Linked DNA regions of Stegostoma tigrinum. The protein of the gene in region 1 interacts with the protein of each later gene in a pairwise test. Links are inferred from orthologs where the notes say so. Each region holds a gene or a part of one and is shown on either strand. Other genes may lie near its edges.

What was found.
Region 2: the proteins of bhlhe40 (region 1) and histone-lysine N-methyltransferase Smyd1-like interact in binary tests that used the Homo sapiens proteins (3 or more experiments, as listed by UniProt). The link is inferred for Stegostoma tigrinum from reciprocal best matches to the Homo sapiens genes BHLHE40 and SMYD1.

The regions. Positions count from the first base shown.
Region 1 is NC_081364.1:58,168,538-58,176,081, forward strand, and holds the start of bhlhe40 (class E basic helix-loop-helix protein 40), read right to left. Parts: upstream 3,062-7,544; 5' UTR 2,435-3,061; coding exon 2,358-2,434; intron 2,229-2,357; coding exon 2,162-2,228; intron 2,010-2,161; coding exon 1,902-2,009; intron 1,075-1,901; coding exon 951-1,074; intron 319-950; coding exon 1-318. UniProt on the Homo sapiens protein: Transcriptional repressor involved in the regulation of the circadian rhythm by negatively regulating the activity of the clock genes and clock-controlled genes.
Region 2 is NC_081354.1:176,261,379-176,268,640, forward strand, and holds the start of histone-lysine N-methyltransferase Smyd1-like, read right to left. Parts: upstream 3,040-7,262; 5' UTR 2,913-3,039; coding exon 2,776-2,912; intron 1-2,775. UniProt on the Homo sapiens protein: Methylates histone H3 at 'Lys-4' (H3K4me), seems able to perform both mono-, di-, and trimethylation. Acts as a transcriptional repressor. Essential for cardiomyocyte differentiation and cardiac morphogenesis.

The sequences.
Region 1 (7,544 bases):
CGCTCTGCTCACCACTGGCTGGACAAGTCCTCTGGATTACAGGCACACAGTTTTTGCCAGGACCTTCAGCCTCACTCAAGGGCTTGGACCTGAAGTCTCCTTCTGGGAACCGTGTCGAGGTCTGCCCTATCCCATTAATGCATCCCCCAGAATGGATGTCTGCCCCCATCTTCTGAAGGTGATTGATCAGGTGCGCAGGCTTCAACTCTCTCAGGTTTTCATGCTTTGCCAGGAATTGCAGCACCTCTTTGGCACACATCTGGAAGCCAGACTGAAACATCTCATGGCTTGACTCAGTCGCCTTGGCTGTTTGTTCACCTGAGAAGCAAAGAAATCTGCGTTAAACCAGGTGACCTACATAAAATCCTTCCCTTAGAAATAAAAAAAGGCCACACTCTAATTGCACTTCAGGATCTTTGCAGAATTTTTCAGTTTCAATCATCTCTCAGTGCCTGCACCTCAGGTCTATCTAGAATTCAATTTGGTGAATGCAGTGGCTTCCATTTTTAGCTTGCTCACCAGAGTTTACAATTGGCAGCCAGTCTGGTTTCTGATACAGTGCAACTTAAAGTTCCCATCGTGCTTTATTAATAGAAGCAGATTTCTTAAGCAGCTCAAAACCTTTAAAATAGCATGTTTGGGAACACTCAATGTCTGAACTGTCGAGAAGAGAAATAAATTCAGCAGCATTCCTACCACCATTTTGGACTGTACCAACCCTGTCACTATGACAACAAGTTGCAAGGTTTAAAATTAAAGATTCAGAACCGAGAGGAGGCGAGAAGTTGGTGTCGCAAATATATTAATGTCATCAGACAATTTTTCATAACACTAAAATAAAACCTATCTAAAGCATAAACTAACTCAAACATCTTATCTTTCATTTAATTTTTAGAGGAACTAATAACGAATAGTTTCTGGTATGTTCAGAGGGTGAATACGGAACTTACCGATTTGCAGACCATTTTGCAGGGCTAATATTTTCTGCTGCTGCTGTTCAATGAGGCCAGTCAATGCCTTCACGTGTTTCAAGGTAAGCTCAAGTACCACAGCCTTCTCCAAATGTCCCAAAGTCTGAAATCAAGATGCGTGCATTATTAACAAGAGCACATCACTTACAGGGTAAATGACGTGGCATTCTACAAAAACACCCTCACAAGCAGGCTGAGGACAAGCCTGTTTGTTCCACACAAGATCAACTTGCATCTCACATTCTCAGTTACTGAAATACATAAATCAAAAGGCATGGGCAACTATTAAGAAACCTTGTAACTCACTGCAAAAATAACCATTAAGAAAACCATTGATACAACTACTATGTAATAATTAACCATAAAAATTACAATACCTAACTGAATTGTAACCAACCGTAAAAATGCCAATAACTAGACAATTAATATCCAATCAATAAAAATCTAGACTCACGTTGATTTTAATTGTTAAATGTTCTATATCAGTGGGATCTGGCTGAACAGCATATTATAAATATTTCCTGCAACCATTTTACTGGAATCACTTTGCAGGTGCTCCTGAGGAGCAGCACTGCAGAAACTAACTAGGAAATCCCAAGCGTGTACATTATGCAAAAAAAATTCATATTCTCTGCACCAACCCCTCACCCGCTACCAAAACAATCCATTTAATCTATTTAAGATTCTAATTTCCTTTGATTTTTATTCAAAGCAAATTTTGAACTTTCCCCTTCGTTAAACGCGTTTGGATCTTCGATTTTACTCGAAAGCAAAACAGAAAGAGATATTGCAGGTTTACATAAATAATCTACACACCTCCCCCCCCCCCCACCCCGACCCCCCAGTTCAGCAATTGAATCGATAGGACAAACGGCGTCTTTAATGCTGTGAACCAGTTATGTCAAAGCACATTGAATTTGCTTCTCTCACCGTCAGTTTGAGATGTTCAGGCAGCATGTCCTTTAACTGGGCTATGCATTCATTAATCCTATCCCGTCTTTTCTTTTCGATCAGCCGGTGTGGTAATTTATACGTTTCCTGAGATTTTAAAAATAAAAGAGGGTTAGTAATTGCCATGAGTGCGCGTAACTTAACAAGGGTCGATTTGCAATGCCGCAATTAAAAACGCCATCCAGATATAAACCCAAGTCTACCACTGCCTATATACAGAAGATAAAGGGACACTGTACCTTGCTGTCGTCACCTCTCTTTAATCCCCTCTTGGCTTTATAAACAAACATGTGAGAGAATTCCATTCTGGAGGGGGGAAAGAGGCAGAAAAAAAATGAAACTCAGGCAAGTGAATTTTCTCTTTTCAGAATTAAAGAGCAAATTCGGTTCACGATGAAGCAAAATTAAAACACAAATTAAAATTCAGAGGCATACCCTTGCATCTCGTTATTTTCAAAAATTGGGATTTTCGGCAGGCAAGGAGGTGGCTGGCCAGCGGTGATCCTGTCCATTTCAGTAATTTCGCTGCTTTGTATAGTGATTGCTGGCTGGCTGGGGCTTTCCTTTTCCCTATCTGTCTGGCTTGTCTGTCTGTCTGCCCAGCTCTCTCTCTCTCGTTCAGTGTATCCTGCTGACTGTGATCAGCCGGAGTTTACTGCACCACACTAGCCTGCCTTTAATGAAACGTGTGGGTGTTCAGGGCTACGTGTTCAACCGTGTGACTCCAGGCACGTCTTTCCTCTTACAGTAAAAAAAAGCTCAAGTCACATGAGACTCACGTGTACAGGAGGCCGCTCACATCCCTCTAATCTGTTTCTCCAAAACAAGCCGGGTTGGGGGAAAGGACATTACATTTAACGCTGTGTTATTTTAAAATAAACAAGTAGGACAACTCGTCAGTCCGTGACTGGAATATTGCGTGCCTGTGTTTTAAAATGCATGTATCAACATTTCTCCTTCACCTCACAGGGCCCCCCACAATGTGATGCCTGGAAGTGATTGATTATCAACCGATCACTGACAATTCCAGCATGTGGGTTTCTGTTTTCTCTGCGTTGGTCGCGTTGGTCAGTTCAGCGAGTCGTGCAGCTTGATGGGTATTGTCGTAAAGTCACCCTATATGTTTTTCAGGTCACGCTTCCCAGTAGAACATGTGAAGTGAAGCAAGACTGTAATTCATTTCCAACCCCCCCCCCCCCCGGCTAAAACATAGCTCATGACATTTAGCAAGGCTGATGGGCTAAAAATGGGTGAAACGGTTGCGTTGTGCCTGTTTTTTTATTAAAAATTGCAACCATCAATGAGCACCGAGTCAGACGGGAAATCCGACATGCAGATTGCCCCTTTCTATCTATATCGCGTCTGCGGTGATAAATATTGTCTCAGACTTTCAAGTCGGCCACATCCAGTTAGAAGCTGAGGTTTGGGGGTTTGGGGTGCAACAGATAAGCGAGAGATGTCCCACCGGACCATGCACTGCTATCATTGCACAGTGTCCTGGGCTTGACCACTGTTTGCAGATTCCCAGGCAAAAAAAAACGCCTTGGCCGCAGACCGATCGATCTGACAACTTCAGCGCCCGCGGGAAACGTGAGCGATCCGTCCTCAACGTGAAGCCACTGTCAGTCCGGAGTAAAATGCAACTGCAACAGAGACAGTACGGTTTGTTGGCGGTGGCTGTTCGTTGCATATCCATAGCGAGGGAGGGGAGGGTGGATGTGTGATGGTTAATATACATCACTTTTTATTGGAAATTCAGAGCTCATTCGCTCCTGGCTGAAAAAATAATCTGAATGCCCCTCTTTAATTGAAGTTAACACCCCCCCCCCATTACTTCAGACTAATTATGATAGTGAGTGCAGATTAACATCTATGTGTGTGTTCTCTCTTTCTAAGGCTGTTAGCTCTCCGCACCTTGAACGCTGATATTTGGCTCCGCCTTAAAGACACCGTGCGGGGTAACGTGAGGTCCCTTTGGCAAAACGCTAGCGAAGACCACACAGACAGAGCCTGCTTTTCACAGTCTGACCATGGGGAGGGGAACGTGACAGCAGACGGATTGAACCACGCTGGGGACAGGGACATCCACCAATAACAAATTCCTCAGCCTCCCCGATCAGACCCTTAAAACAATATCGAGCAATGAATGGGGTGGCGGGGGGGAAGGTGGGTAGACGACTCGGGGTTGTGCCCTTTCTGTTTCCGTTGTTAGTTCGCCCCGCGTTACACTTTATTTACATATTTAAAAGAACGCGTCTCCGATGAGCCCGGTCTCCCACATTAACAGTGGGCATAGGATATCCTTTTAGGCAGGATCGCTTCGGGAGAAATTCTCGAAAGATGTTTTTGAGAATTCTGCTTTGTTTTAAACATCCAAGAGAAGGCTCCGGTTGGAAGGAATACGAGATCATGTTCACACACACCCCCCCCCACCCTCTAAATAAAGGGCCAGTGTTATCGAAGGATTACAGTAGAGGTTCAGCCCCTTTCGGCTCAACTCTCTCTAAGATTCCCATAGCGGCGGGGGTCATCCACAGTTGAATACACGTGAAGACCGCACGTCCCCTGACTCGGAAGGTGAGAAAGGGAAAAGGCGGCTGACCCAGACAGACGACCCATGACCCACCCACCCACCCTTCCATACACCGTATCAGCAGCCAACTTTTCCGGCCTCCACAATTTCGGGCGGTAGCTCTTCGCGTTCCTAACCTGACCTCCTCCGAGTTGGACGCGAACCAGCCATCATCAGCTCTGATTGGACGGGTTCCTGAAAGTTTCTTCAAATGACGTGCTGCCTCCCCCAGTCAAATAGCCTTTTTTTAAACAAACAAAAACGTCAACTCCCTTTAAATATGTTAAATATATTATGGACAGGCGTATATAATCGCCGTTCTAAGCACACACTTTTTAATGAAATTAGCATATTTTACACTGGTGGTCGCTTGTAAACATGTTCACGGCGATCAAGCTTCATTTCTTCAAGACTGCAGGGGAAATGGGGGGGGGGGGGGGGGGGGAGGTGGTTTAGGGTTAGCCAAGGGATGTCTGGGTAGCTCAGCATCAGGAGCTGCACCCCAACTGTAGATGTGAAACAAATAAGCCATTCAACCTGTCCAAAAGTTAACCCCCGCTCATCTTGATCTTTTCTCGTCTTCGGTGCAGCCAAATTATTCCGGAATCTGCTTCCCACCACGGGCAATGCATTTCGTTGCGAAAATTAGAAAAAAACTTCTACGTTAAAAAAAAGTGCGCAGAGAAAAGAAACAACGCCAAAAAATCCACGCGGTGCAACCGTCTCGTGTGTGTGTGTGCTATCTTTTGTATGTTGACTTGGACACAGCGGGGTTATGTTACATCGTATTGCTTAATCCACATCTTCCCCTCCCCTGTTTCACCTTGTGCCTTTATTTTCAAAAAAAGTGCACTCGTCCCTAAAACCTATTTTACCAACCCGTTTCTCTTTGCACAAGCTTAAACTTGATCTGCAGTCACGGGTATTTTTTTGTGTGTGCGCGTTGAACTCAATGGACAAGACTTGTCTCGGGGATTTCCAGCAACTGTAAACGTGTTAGTAGCCACAGTGAAGAAAAACTATTCATTCCCAAGCTCGATGGGCCACGCCACGCTCTTGATTTTTCTGGCTTGCTCGTTGCCCTTCACAGCCTCTGCCAGATTTCCGAATCACAGTTTTCCTGCCACCCCCCACTTGCCCCCACATGGTCTCAATGTTCAGCCCAAACGTGATCACAAACGTATCAAGAGGTACCACTTTCCTCATTGTCCCCAGGGACTCTTCAACAGCCAGACTTGGGGTGAGTTGGCTCCATCTAGATTAGCTTTTCCTCTTGTGGTGCAGCGGTCGTGTCCCTGTCTCTGAGCCAGAAAATCTGGGTTCAAGCCCCGGTCCTTGTCCCAATGCGTCCCAGCAGGTTTATTAAAAACATCTACACCGTTCCATGCTGAACTTTTTAAAAAAAAACAAACGGGAATTTGGTTTGCGTACGTTTGTAGGGGTAAGTTTGCAGATCGACCACGCTGTACCCCATTTCCCAAAGCAATAGAGCAAGCCCCAGTGGGCTTTTATTGCAATGCACCTAACGGCTCCCGGAACATTGCAAGAAGTAGCAGGCTCCTTTTCTATTGAACAAGAGCTTGAAACGGAGAGTTTGGAAGTGTCCCTGTTTCTGACAGGGCGGTCGGGGACTGCATATAAGCAGGACGCGGAACGTCCGAGACCACTGTGGACCTGCCTAGCCTCTCAGTTCAAAGCATACTATCACCACCTGAGAGAGTCCCATTTCCAATCCCCAAGGCAGGTGCAGGCTAATACATCAATAATTGCTGTTACTTATTAACTCATATATACATATATATAAATCCTTTCTTTAAAAAAAACCGACATCCTTTGATAAACAGCACACCACATGGCTCCCACCCTGTAAATCTACCTTTTGTTCTAAGTGGAGAGACTTTCAATTAGGCGTTTGCAGTCATCACTGCATGCCAACTTGAGTTACTATACAACCTATGGGATATGCTTGAAATATACATAAACGCTAAGCCACAAAGCCACATAAACAGTTGGGAAGTCTGGGACAAGTTACTCCCCAAAACTTTTCTACCCAAGGTAGTGGACAGCACCAACACCACTCAAGAAGCTTAAAGCCAATTCAGTACAACGTAGCCCACCTTATCTATTCAGTCCACCCAGCAAATCTGGATTGAAGTAAATCCCTAAAGTAGAGACTACACAGTATGGAGCTGGAGGACCACAGCAGGCCCAGGCCAGGCAGTATCAGAGGAGCAGGAAAGTTGACGTTTCGGCTCGGGACCCTTCTTCAGAAACAACCCGACCCGAAACGTCAACTTTCCTGCTCCTCTGATGCTGCCTGGCCTGGGACTACTGTGTTCCTCCAGCTCCACACTGCGTTGTTTCTGACTCCAGCATCTACAGTTCTTGCCATCTCTGATTGAGTAATCATCCCTAAAGTGGCATTTATTTTACCAGCACCTCCCAAACTGAAGCTTCCACCAAGAAGGACAAAGACCTTGGAACATTACCAGCTCTAAGAATCCCATTATGACTTGGAATCGTAACTCTGTTCCTTCATTAATATGGCTCAAAATCTGAAAGTAAAACTACATCTCCTCCCCCCTCCACATCATGGAACTTTTATGCAGACGAAGGTTAAAATCACATTTTGAAAGATCGATAATAAATCCCATTCTTGCCATGGATACCCAAATATCAAACAAATTAACACAAAAATCACTTCTCACTTAATGATATTCACAACAGTGAAATTCTCACTAATTTACAGCATTCCTCCCTCCCCCATTCCTATACTTAAGTTGCTGGCTCCTTGCCTGGTTGCACTTCCAAATGGTGTTGAGACCTCCGCTGTGCCTCAGGAAACTGGTTAGTTATTCTAGTGAGATAGTGCGTGGGTGCACCTCTTCACGTGATGAGGAGCTATAAGTGAGAGGTCAATAGAGTTGTTTCTCTCAAACCAGGCTGACAGGTGAGGCAACAACATTTTTCGTTATTGTTTCAGACTTTATGCATCTCAGTGATAGGTCAGAAGAATCCGGGCATTTGTGCACAAAATGGACACTCATGCT
Region 2 (7,262 bases), on another chromosome or scaffold:
CAGTGCTCAGGATCATGGATGATTTGCATCCACTATGGTTTGATGGGATATAGTGTCACAGGGCCATAGAGTCCTACAGCATGGAGAAAGGCCCTTCAGCCCAAACTGGTCCATGCCGACCAAAATATCCATCCACGCTAACCCCATTTCCATGCACTTGACCCATATCTTTCTCATCCTTTCCTTTCAATGTATTCATCCAAATGCCTTTTAAATGTTGTTAATGTACCTGCCTCAACCACTTCCACTGGCAGCTCATTCCATATGTGTACCACCCTCTGTGTAAAAAAGTTGCCCCTCAGGTTCCAAAGTATTCTTTCCCCTCTTACCTTCAACTGATGCCCTGTAATCCTCGATTCCCCAACCCTGGAAAAAAGACTGAGTGCATTCACCCTAAACCATGACTCTCGTGATCTTATACACTTTTATAAGATCACCCTTCAGACTCCTACGCTCTAAAGAAACAAATCCTAGCCTGTCCAACCTCTCCCAATAACTCAGTCCCTTGACTCCTGGTAACATCCTTGTAAATTTCTTCCGTACTCTTTCCAGTTTAATAACATCCTTCCTATAGCAAGGTGACCAAAACTGAACACCATACTCCAAGTGCAACTGCACCAAGATCCAGAGCAACTACATCATAACTTCCCAACTTTTGAAAGGGTTGATAAGTCCATTGCTTGTTCTGCAGACTCTGTCACAGATAGGAAAGGTGAGACAAATGGGCTATTTACTTTCACTCTCTGATGTCTTGACTTGACCTCTGTACATCCCCAGTGAAGTCTCAATGTGGTTTATGTCTTCCCAAATGTTCCCTCTCAGGCTGAGTGCAAACCAGGGTTTCCTAAGAGTCAACCAGGATGTTTTATCTTTTCAGGACATTGCAACAAACATTTCTGCTTTCCCCCAGGAGAGACACACCTGATGCAAACCATATTGAGCAGAGCAGTTATGTGGGATTGAAGTACTGTGGACTTTGGGAATCAGAAATAAAAACAGAAAGTGGCAGAGAAACACAGCAGGCCTGGCAGCATCTCTGAAGAGAGAAACATTTCAAATCCAGTGATTCTTCCTCAGAATTGAAGAGGGCTGGAAAATAATGCTTTTTATGCTGTTGACAAAGGTGGACGGGGGGTGAGGGGAACAGATCATGAGAATGCCTGGAGCAAAAGGCAAAGTGAATTCTAATGGCCACAAAGGAGAGATCTGGATTCAAAATAGATGTGAATAGTAGGAAATAGCTCAGCTGTACTGAGAGCAAACCCATGCCCCCCTCCCCATGCATTGGTAGAATTGTGACAGTGGAACTGTCCCCTCTTCTTTCTTACCGTTCGGGGTCCCAAGCACATCTTACAGGTGAGGCAGCAGTTTTCTTGTACTTTTTCTTTCAATCCAGCCTTCTGTACTCATTGCTCACCATGCAGTTTCCTTCACATTGTGAATCCAAATGCAGACTGTGTAACCACTTCGCATTTCTCCCTAAGTCTCCAACAGCACTACATATAAACATTCCACCATTGATCATTTTATGATTCTATCAGGGAAAAGGCAGAGGAATGGCAATAGGTGACTTGTTTTTGTTGTGATCTATCTTAGACATGATCGATTGAAAGGCCTCCTTCGGAAGTTCCACAAATCCGTGATTCTAAATCCTTTGTCGAGTATGCTAAGTCAAAGCAACAAGACAGACACAAGAACAAAGCAAAAACTCCATCACTCTGACAAGTGACTCACTTCCCACTCATTCAGTGCACTCTATAACTTACAAGGCTCAAGTTGGGATTAGATTGACATAGTGAACGGGATATCTGAAACATTAAACCATCCTGGACGGAATGTGATCCACTTGATCGGGAGATCTGCCACTGGATGAATCTCCCGGCAGGTTACGGTAACAGCAGCCACTTTCTAGCCGCATTTCGAATGTCATGTCCCAGTCTACAGTCTCGGCCACACTGAGAAGGATAAGAGTACCAGGATTGGAGGGACAGCGTCACCTGCAAGTTCTCCTCAATATCAAGATCATCCTGACCTGAATTTAAGCGCCACTTCTGGAACACTACGAGGTTCAAACCCTGCAGTTTCACATCAAATACCGACATTGGAGCTTTAGCAAGGCAAGGATTAAAAAGTTAAATAGAAATGCTTGTCATCACCTTCCCAAGCAACTAGGAAAGGCCAACTAAAAAAATGAGGTTTTGTCAATTTTCCTCCATTTTAATAACAACCACTTCAAAAACAGCCCTGATTGGTTTCTATGAAATAAATGACAGTTCCCACTTTGAATGCTGGCAAATAGGGTTTGGTCAGATTGGGATATCTGGCCAAAGTGGACAAGTCAGACCAAAGGATCTGTTTCTGTGCTGTTTGACTCTGGGTTCTGAACCTTTCTCCCTAAAGAAATACCTTTGGCCTGAAAACCCCCAAATGGAAAGAACTGAGCCAAGTAACTCCCTGTAGCAACGTAAAATGATCCCATATGATTGTCCCACCAGCTCATGGTGAAGCTAGATCATTGTCAACTGGAAGACTGTAGTATCCAGTGGAATTAAAGACAACAGTTTTCGGGCATTCCTTGCAGAATTCAGTCAATGAAGACAAGGAACTCAATCAATTAAACAGTCAATAGGAAATGAAATGTCGAAGAAGCGCTGCTGTATTAAAATCAAATGTAAATAAAAACTCTTATCCAACACCTGAACTTGATTCTATAACTTGCATTCTGGAGCAATGTAAGGTGACTTTGTAGGAAGACAAGTAGACAGACGTACTTACTTGTCAAACACAACCGCAGCATACGCTGGCTCAGCAAAGACCACATCCCCACTCAGAAGATCTTGCTTGGCCTTCAGCCCCCTGCCCTTGCCATCTGCATCGAAGATTTCTACTTTATCCATGTCACCGACCGTCATTGAGAGAATGAGCAAGAGCCCAGCACTACGAGCTTTAACCTTGGCCACTAATCTTCAGCTAATCTTGACACGTTCAGGCAGTCAAAAGTGAGCTCTATAAATGGTCTGACTCATCCAGCCTGTACCAAGTCAAAAAATGGTGAGGAGAGTTGAGGGGGGGGGGGGAGCGTCGGCTTTGTGGATGAAAATAGCAAGAACACCCACCTGGTGAAACACGATGCCTAGGTTAATTCAGACAAACTATTGTACATTCCTTTAACTCCTGACGATGATTCAGAATAGTTAGTCATAGCTCATTTCAAAGAAAAAGGAAAATTTTTGGTCAGGTATTACAACAATCCTGCAACATTACATGTGTAATGTCTCTATCCCCTTGAGAAATGAGCTGGGTGCAGCCAGTGGATTTATTTTTGGAAAACAGATGCCATTGTCCGTCAAAGTGTGACAGCTGAAGAGGAGTTGCCATTACTTGTGAGACTCGCTAAAAGATATCAGCGTGTTATCAGTCTCTTGAATTTCTGCACACTGAACAGTAGACTCTGGCACTGGCCTAAAGCATTAGTGAATGCAAAGGCACGAGAATGTTTCATGGAAGGCTCCAGAAACCTGACAAAGGTTAAGCGATTGAAAGGGGCATGTTAGAAGGGTAGTGCTGGTTACCCAATCCAACAATAAATTAAGCTTATCTGAACACTAAGCTAAATGAAATAAATATGGGCTGAATCTTACCTTTTCTTCAGGCAAAGTGTCATTTTTGTTGACTTGCACAGAGAGTTTCACTTTGCAAAGCCTAAAGAGTATTCTCATGTTACAGTTTCCAAACTCACCCCATTGACGATTTACCACATTCCAATAGTTTCCCTCTTGTCTGATACTGACCTCGTTCTCCCACTCGCTGTAACTGAAAGTGCTTATCACTGACCTTGTATTGGTACCACTTTTAAAAGGTCATTGTTCACCTGGTCAAGCATTTGGTGACATTCAGCCTGGCATGGGAGAGAAGGGAATTTGGTGCCTGCTTTGTGGGCAGGGGCTTGGAGCTCCACCGGAGAGAGTGATGCAAGGTTAGGACTACCCCTTCGCCAAGATTGACAGAGTAGGGCACATCACTAAAGTCTGCCAGCCTAAGGCACATATTTACCACCCAGGTCAATGCAATTGCAGGCATCTGGCTGGAAGGAAGACAGCACCGCTAGAAGAAGGTCAATGACCTCCCCACTCTGCCAGGAAGACTACCACCACCTTCACTCTGCTACCTTACTCTCACTCTATCTCTGCCACTATACCCTCTTCCTACCATACCAGTCTCAGTATTGTGTGAAGCATCTTTCCTCACTCATTCTCACCCACCCAATTCCCTCACACCATGGCCTCTGGGTTGCCTATTCACTCACTCAGGCCACTTTTTTTTCTTTATTCATTCATGGGATGACGGCAACACTGGCCAGTTAGCATTTATTGTCCATCCTTAATTGCCCAGAGGGCTGTTAAGAGTCAACTACATTGCTGTGGGTCTGGAGTTACATGTAGGCCAGACCAGGTAAGGATGGCAGTCTCCTTCCCTCAGGGACATTACTGAATGGGTTTTTCTGAAAGAAATATGATGAAATACACAAAGTGAGTTTAATGAATCTAAATTACATAGAACATACAACAGTACTGGCCCTTCAGCCCACGATGTTGTACCGACCTATTATTCTACTCTGAGAGCAAAACTGCCCTGCATCAGGGTTTTTCTGACAATCGACAATGGATTCACGATCATCATTAGACTCTTAATTCCAGATATTTATTGAATTCAATCTCCACCTGCCACGGCGGGATTCAAACCTGGCTCCCCAAGACATTATCTGGTTCCTTGGATTAACAGTCCAGTGATAGTACCACTAACCCATCATTTCTAGCATCAGCTTCTGACCACCTGCTCCAAAACTACCAGTTCTGCCTCCTACCTTAATCTCATTCAAACCCTCCCTTTCTCTCATTCCAGGAGAAAATAGTCCATGATGTGGGGAGAATGAACCAGATGGGTGCTGTGCTGCTTGACATTCAGCCCCTCAGCTACAAAGAGGTGAATGGCCATCCCAGTTGGCCAAATGACCATGTCCAAGCTCCTGAGGTGACATCAAGGGCTGTTCTTGACCAGCTGTAACAGCACCCCATGGCTGAAGAGGTTCTTACCTTGATAACAAAGTGTGGGGCTGGATGAACACAACAGGCCAAGCAGCATCTTAGGAGCACAAATGCTGATGTTTCGGGCTAGCCTCTGGAGCCTTCGAGTAAAGTCTATTTTCTTGCTGCGCGTGTGGTGTATTTTCTATGTACAGTGCTGACATATGATGCAGGTGTGAGATTGACTCAGTATAGTGCCACACAGTAACATGCCCAACCCCTGGTCTGACGAACTGCTGACCACCATAACAGAATGTCGGGCTTTGTGTCTGCACAAGAAGGCAAGTCAAGGTAGAAATATGATCTATCCCTTCATTCTGCCTGAAGGAGCATAGGGAAAAGAGGCATGGTAAACCTGAGGATGTTGTAAACATCTAAGCAAAGTGAGTGAATGCTGAGACAGCATGTGAGGATCCCCAAGATGCAAAACGTTCCAACCCCTTATCGATGCCTATTCCCCCACACCAAGTCTATCATGCGCAGCACTGCAATGATTGATGCATTCCAGAATGGAGCTTACTGCGAATGGGTCGGAGGTGTGGCATGAGATTGCAGAAAGACTGATATGGTCTTGGCTGCCAATGTCCGTGGGCATAGAATGTGTGCGGCCACTGTCCATGGAGACCGCAGTGAGACTTTGGTGCTTGGTTTCTGGAGGCTGAAGCAGTGGGCTGGGATTGCCAGGCACCCACTTAGAAACTTTTTCTAGAAACTTTTTCTTTGTTGAGTATTTCTGCAACTGGTTTCCATTTGGAGGGTGGTAGACAGAAGTCTGCAGATAAACAAGGTGTACTTACACATAAGTGAGGTTGAGGCTGAGCAATCATTCCTATTAATAGGCCTCTCACCTCTCACTGGCGGGAATGTTCTTTCCACATCTGGAACTCAGTTGGAAAATTTGAATTGTTGATTCCGAATGAAAGCCCCCATTCAACATCTCACTCAGTCCTTCCAAATTAGTCATCATCATTCATGGCATGGGAAGATCCCACCCAATTTTATAGTTGGAAGAAGGTTGATTCATGAAAGAGGCAAAGAGAGAATAGTCAAAACTTAATGCAAAGAAATATGATGAAATACACAAAGTGAGTTTAATGAATCTAAATTACATAGAATATACAACAGTACTGGCCCTTCAGCCCACGATGTTGTACCGACCTATTATTCTATTCTGAGAGCGAAACTACCCTGCATATCCTACATTTTACTAACATCCAGACATAATGGGAACTGCAGATGCTGGAGAATCTGAGACAACAAAGTGTGAAGCTGGATGAACACAGCAGGCCAAGCAGCATCTCAGGAGCACAAAAGCTGACCTTTCGAGCCTAGACCCCTCTCTGATGAAGGGTCTAGGCCCGAAACGTCAACTTTCGTGCTCCTAAGGTGCTACTTGGCCTGCTGTGTTCATCCAGCTTCACACTTTGTTGTCTCTTTTACTATCATCCATGTGCATATCCAAGAGTTGCTTTAATGACCCTAATGTATCTCACTCTACTACGACTACCGGCAGTGCATTCCACACTCCCACCACTCTCTGTGTAAAGAACCTACCTCTCATATCTCCCCTACGCCTTCCTCCAATCTCCTTAAAATAATGCCCCCTCATAATAGTCATTTCCATTCTCGGGAAATGTCTCTGGCTATCCACTTTATCTATGCCTCTCATCATCTTGTACAATTCACCTCTCATCCTTCTTCGCTCCAATGTAAAATGCCCTAGCTCCCTTAACCTTTCCTCATAAGGCTGCCCTCCAATCCAGGCAGCATCTTGGTAAATCTCCTCTGCACCCTCTCTAAAGCTTCCACATCTTTCCAATATTGAGGTGATCAGAACTGAACACAATATTCCAAGTGTGGTCTAACCAGGGTTTTATAGACCTGCAGCATAACCTCGCGGCTCTTAAACTCATTTCCCCTGTCGATGAAAGCCAACACACCATATGCTTTCTTTACAACACTATCAACATGGGTAGCAACTTTGAGGGATCTATGGATGTGGGCCCCGAGGTTCCTCTGTTCCTCCGCACTGCCGAGAATCCTGCCATTAACCCTGTATTCTGCATTCAAATTTGACCTTCCAAAACGAATCACTTCACACTTTTCTGAGTTGAAATCCATCTGTCACTTCTATGCCCAGCTCTGAATCCTATCAAAGTCCCTTTGCAACCTGCAACA